Kluyveromyces lactis: one gene and its partner. The protein of the gene in region 1 binds, or shares a complex with, the protein of each later gene. Links are inferred from orthologs where the notes say so. Each region holds a gene or a part of one and is shown on either strand. Other genes may lie near its edges.

Region 1 (2,801 bases):
GCGTGAAGAGAATGATCAAAAAATTAGAAATACTGTCAACAGACTTGATTATAAAATTTGTTTGATATGTGGTGTCAAGATTCACGCACGTACAGATGGCCTTGAAATGCAAAAGCACATGGAAAGGTGTTCCCATGGTTCCAGTGGGTTGTTTTTAATTCCTAATATCAGTCAAGTGTGCCTCTATTTAAGTAGACCGGACTGTACCGTCAACATTTCGGCCCCTTATTTGAACTCACACGGTGAATCAGGAAGAAACGCTATCGAACGAGGTGATCTAACAGTATTAAATCATGCTAGATATGAACATTTAACTCGTCTTTGGATTTCAAATGGTATCCCCGGTTATATCAGCCGAGTAATGGGGGACGAATTCAGGGTTGCGATGGCAAATAACCGAACATTTACGAGGAACATGTTTTGGAGACCTGGTGCTGCTTTCAACGCTGGTGGGGAGAGCAGTGACGAGGACCTTATGAACGATGATGAGTTTGGGAATGATGATCGTCCAGATCTAAGGTTTAGACAGCCTGATGTTGAATTACGCATCAATGGTGGACCATTCGGTGGAGATATCCCTATAAGATTACCAACCGAAAGAGGTGACATACATGATTTTTTCGAGTTTGTTCAAAACATGAGAGGGGGTATGCAAGGTGATGGCGCAGACATTCCGACTACAGAAGATATCATTGAACAACTGCAAGGAAATGCAATGAATGGATTCTTCGGCCGTGCAGATAGAAATAGAGAGCACTTTGAACTGAATGATCAAAGTGACGGCAATGAAGATGGTGAGGACGAAGAGCACGAAAACAACGCTTCGGAAGATCAAGACACGGAATACAGTTCTGCAGAAGAAGGTTTTGATTTCAACGAGTTAAATAACGTAGAATGAATAACTTTTTGCTCGTCACACCTCAAAATTGCCTTAACCTTATGGCACCATTCACAACTTCAATGTACCAAATATATATAGAATAGCACGTTATTTCGTTTATGCACACATCGATATAAGATATTTTTACTAGTTTTGCATAAATCTGCAATATGTGGAGTGGACTGACCACAGGATACTATGCCGTCCAATATCTTACAGAATCTTTTATTGTAGCCTGACTCTGTCCCACCCTTTGATAATTCATGTTGAAAGTACTCCCAGTACTAGACTTTTGCACGTGATTACTTCTGGATATCATACCATACGACCCAATTATATCCGAGTACGGAACTTTTCTTCAAATTTTTGAAAAACTGGATAAATGTATAAAACGGAAAGCTAACTTCGACTGATGCCAAAGACAAGGTTTAATAAGAAAAAGTTCAGCTCAACAGAAACCAGAACTCCCGTTTTAGAAATGGTATGTTAATGATTTGATTAGTCATGGATAATACATATGATATGCGTCTTTTCTGGATCTGAAAACATTGATTTTGGCGTAGATGTCTTATTTGACTTCTGGAATTGAGAAACCGAAAACTGGGAACTGAAAAAACTGTTTGTAAACACGATGCAAATTACATTGAGCAGATGCTAATGTACAATTATACTATTATTAGTGAAATATACTTCCAAAGCTGAATGTCTGCATATCCCGTGGTGTTTCCGATGCCTGTTAAGGTTCCCTGGAGGTATGACCGATATCTCCATATAATAGAAAGGCAGTCTCAATACTACATTTATCTTCGAAGTACGACCATGGCTTATCGCATGTATATCAGTTACATCAAACAAGTGAAGAATGGACACCTTCTGGGCAAAATCCAGCGGCTGTTTTCCCAGATCATTGCGGATTGACTACATGAAATATTAGATCATATTACTAACAATTATTTTTCTGAACAACTTAATTATCACAGTCTTTCGCCTCTACTCTGTACAAAACTGTCTTTAAGAGAAACTCTGTTTTCGTTGGTACCGTGTTCGCCTCTGCCTTCGTTTTCCAAGCTGCCTTCGATACTGGTGTGACCTCTTGGTACGAAAACCACAACAAAGGTAAGTTATGGAAAGATATCAAGGGTGGTATCATGAACGGTGGTGAAGAAGATGAAGAAGACGATGAATAAGTTTCTTTTGACATTTGAATTATATCATTTCTCATCATTATACTTTTAAGTGTCTTTTCATTGATGCTTTTGTTCAATTATTTTACTTCTTAGAATATACCGTCACTTCAAAACATATTTTAAAAATGTGGATACGCTACTGTCGGGAAACATTTATCTATCCGGCACTCCATACGTCTACCAGGCCTAGGACATCAACTTTGGAATGATGTTCTCAGATTTTCATAACATTCATCCTTTTCGCTATCGGAATCTCACTCGATTCAAGAGATAAAAAGGGTAAAACATATATGACCATAAAGCGTGAATATCTGCGCATTGATGTTCATCTTATTTGTTGTTAGCTGTTTTTCCCTCTACTCCTATTTATTTTCAACTCACTTATTTGAAATCTCATCAATCAATCACATATGCGGCTCAATTGTATTTAAATACAATGTATTGTTTGTGCTGTTTCTGTGTATTAATCATGTCTATACGATAATAAAAAAGAATTACCCATTATTTGTGTACCAATACCGTACTTTTGTTTATATATATATACCTGAATTTATTCGACGGGTATGAAATAGCATTCATAATGTATGATTATACGTAAGACGCGAATATAACATTATACAAATCTATATACATGTAGCTTGTAATGAATCAGAGCATTAAATAACTTCTTTTATCTCAAAAGTTGCGCCCCTTAGATTTCACCGTTAACCGAAGCTTGCTGAATTCTGTTAATG
Region 2 (2,635 bases), on another chromosome or scaffold:
GATTCACTAATGTTGTTTTCCCTGGAGACAGATTAAAGGTAAAAGCATGGAAGAAGAACGATGTTGTCATTTTCCAAACTACTGATTTGAATACTGGTAAGATCGTATTGGACAATTCTGCCATTAAATTGATCGGTAAATCAAAGTTATAATTCTGGCTTTGTGTGTCAGAGAGCGTAAGCTGTAATGATTATGTCCCAACGTATATTAGTTTGTAGCAAATAATGAATAACGACCAATTCCAATCCGTTTTCTTTTGACATAAAACAATTTATATCTCTTTACTTATATACGTTTAGTAAAAGGATGGGTCCTATTTATATGAATAATGTGTAATTGAAGTGCTTTTTCGAAAGTAACGTTCTTTCGAGGGTTTATTTCATAAAATAAATAATAATAATGGTGCTCAGAAGAATATTTTAATTCCTTACTTCTAGGCTTTGGGATTGAGAATATGCTTCCTCTCGTTAAGCATATCTAGAGAGAAAGCAACCTGCAATGACGAAAGTTCAAAAAAATATCATACGTATAACGCATAATCAATTATTGAGGACTGTCTTCTGGAGCAACAACCTTAACCCAGTGGTCACCGAAGTATGGGATCTTTCTGTAGAAGGCATCTTGGAAAGTTGGCCAGCCATCGGTGAACACGAATAAACCGAAAGTAGAAGCACCACCCCAAAGAGCCAAGTTTGGAGCGTAACTCTTCAAGTTTTCAAAAGTGATTCTACCGAAGTGAGCAGCAGTCTTTGCTGATAGTTTAGAAACGTACTGATGAAGATAATTGTTTAGGGAAATATCCCTTGACACATGAAATGTTAGTAAAAAAACAGTCTTCAAAGGGCTTATATTTGCCCAAGATACATCAGGTATATGAAAGATCCTTCCTAAAGGTACTCATAACCTTACCTTTAAGGTCTGGAGATATCGGTATACCTAAAAAAATCTGGATAATTCAGTTATGAGTTTTGATCTACTCCATCTCTAAAGTCTCTTTCAAAACATTAACCACATTCCAGACACATGTCTACACATACAGCAACCATTTTGGAATAAGTATACTGGTGTTTTTCAGCTCTAAAATAGATATCTGCAACGTTGACCAAAAGCACATCCCATAGTAAAGGTATAATGCTCCAGTTAATTGAATTGAAGCTTTTTTATCTTTTTTATCATATAGTGTTGATGTCATTGTGAACGACGTGGACAGTGAGATGATTGGTTGTAGGTCACGTGCAAATAGGAAATTTGGGTACCATGATTACATATCTGTATCGGTTAACTAGTAGAACAAGGATAAGGACAGACACACTTGGCAATCAGGGACTGTTAATTATCCAATTATTTGAGTTCTGTTGTCATAGGCTGTGTCCTGTCCATATTCTTATTTTCTGGTAATAAATATGAGTAGTGTTTCTTCACTTGTGATAAGGTATCTGGCCTCTGCAGTCCATTCACATCAAAGAACTTACTGACGCAACTCCAACGATGCCACGTGAAATCTTTTGAGGCTTGGCAATTGCATCTCAATATTTCTTTCAACGGGTTATCTCTTGGACAATCTTGATTTGGATTGTGTGCGTACCCTGTATCGGGTACAAAATGGATTTGGTCAACGTCTAGTAACAAACTAAATGCAAGCGTATGAACCGGAGCATCGCCCCAACGTTCGTAGAAAAACCCACCAAGTGAGTCCAAATATTGGAAATAAGATTCGTACCCATAACTCGGGTCTTTGAATATCTTTAAATGGGCAATCTCAAAGTTAGTCCAAAAATGACATCCGTTATACGTGGCTCCGTCATCGTCCGAGATGAATTTGAAGTTGTTTCGTTTGCTGACAAGTTCAGGGTGCATTTCGAAAAAATACTTATACGTATGTTCCCATAACGTCGGGATCGTCTTTTGGTCTTCACCCATGGCCATGGCAAACCCGTATAATTTGTCGTTTTGTCTCATATGCTGGAATACATCATAGTTTATATCACATCCGAATTTCACGTAAGGTTCCACACGCCAATAGTATTCAACATTTGCTAGTTCTGGTAACTTGTAAAACAATCCAGAATTGAATCTACACATGAAACGATACGATTCGCTAGCGCCATAAGCAATTTTCTTTTTGCCCATTTCCTCTCTAACTTTGGCAGCTTTTCCACGATCGATATTATCTGGATAGTCGAAAAATTCTTTCGGAAGCGTGATATACTTTACGTTACCGCTAACTTCATTAGAAGTACCATTGATGAACTCTTCAGTGAACTTTTTATCGTTTACAAACCACCAATCGTAATGGTATTTCTTGTTGAATCGTCTCTCGAATTGTCTAATTGATTGCAACATACCATCCAATTCCTCGTTTCGCACCAAAGAAAGTATAATATCATTACCCCTATCATCAGTATAAAACTTTTCAACTGGTTTCTCGTCCTGTACCGATGATTTTGGTTCTGATTCTGGTTCTGGTTTTAACTCGGCAATTCTATCTTCGATCCCATAAGTCGACCAGAATCCATAAATTAATCCGATTATCGTGATCAATATGATACCATTTCGTACCGTTCTTTTCGATAGATGTAATTTACCGATCATTGCATGGTCAATTGATATACAAGACTTATTTTGCACAGTCCGG

What was found.
Region 2: the proteins of QCR9 (region 1) and QCR10 are in contact, whole or in part, in a cryo-EM structure (PDB 8YIN), measured with the Saccharomyces cerevisiae proteins. The link is inferred for Kluyveromyces lactis from reciprocal best matches to the Saccharomyces cerevisiae genes QCR9 and QCR10. Residues at the interface, in NP_011699.1 of Saccharomyces cerevisiae: Arg13, Asn14, Ala15, Val16, Val18, Gly19, Phe22, Ala23, Phe26, Gln29, Thr30, Val31; in NP_011864.1 of Saccharomyces cerevisiae: Asn29, Leu32, Trp33, Gly35, Ala36, Leu39, Gly40, Phe42, Val43, Glu46, Leu55, Tyr56, Lys58, Leu61.

Annotation. Positions count from the first base shown.
Region 1 is NC_006042.1:1,408,553-1,411,353, reverse strand, and holds QCR9 (ubiquinol--cytochrome-c reductase subunit 9), read left to right. Parts: upstream 1-1,292; coding exon 1,293-1,361; intron 1,362-1,860; coding exon 1,861-2,067; downstream 2,068-2,801. Other genes in the region: E3 ubiquitin-protein ligase UBR1, read left to right, coding at 1-898; protein translocase subunit TIM13, read right to left, coding at 2,759-2,801. UniProt on the Saccharomyces cerevisiae protein: Component of the ubiquinol-cytochrome c oxidoreductase, a multisubunit transmembrane complex that is part of the mitochondrial electron transport chain which drives oxidative phosphorylation.
Region 2 is NC_006041.1:1,221,948-1,224,582, forward strand, and holds QCR10 (ubiquinol--cytochrome-c reductase subunit 10), read right to left. Parts: upstream 1,047-2,635; coding exon 1,038-1,046; intron 772-1,037; coding exon 544-771; downstream 1-543. Other genes in the region: bifunctional hydroxyacyl-CoA dehydrogenase/enoyl-CoA hydratase FOX2, read left to right, coding at 1-152; KLLA0_E13861g (glycosyltransferase family 15 protein), read right to left, coding at 1,342-2,592.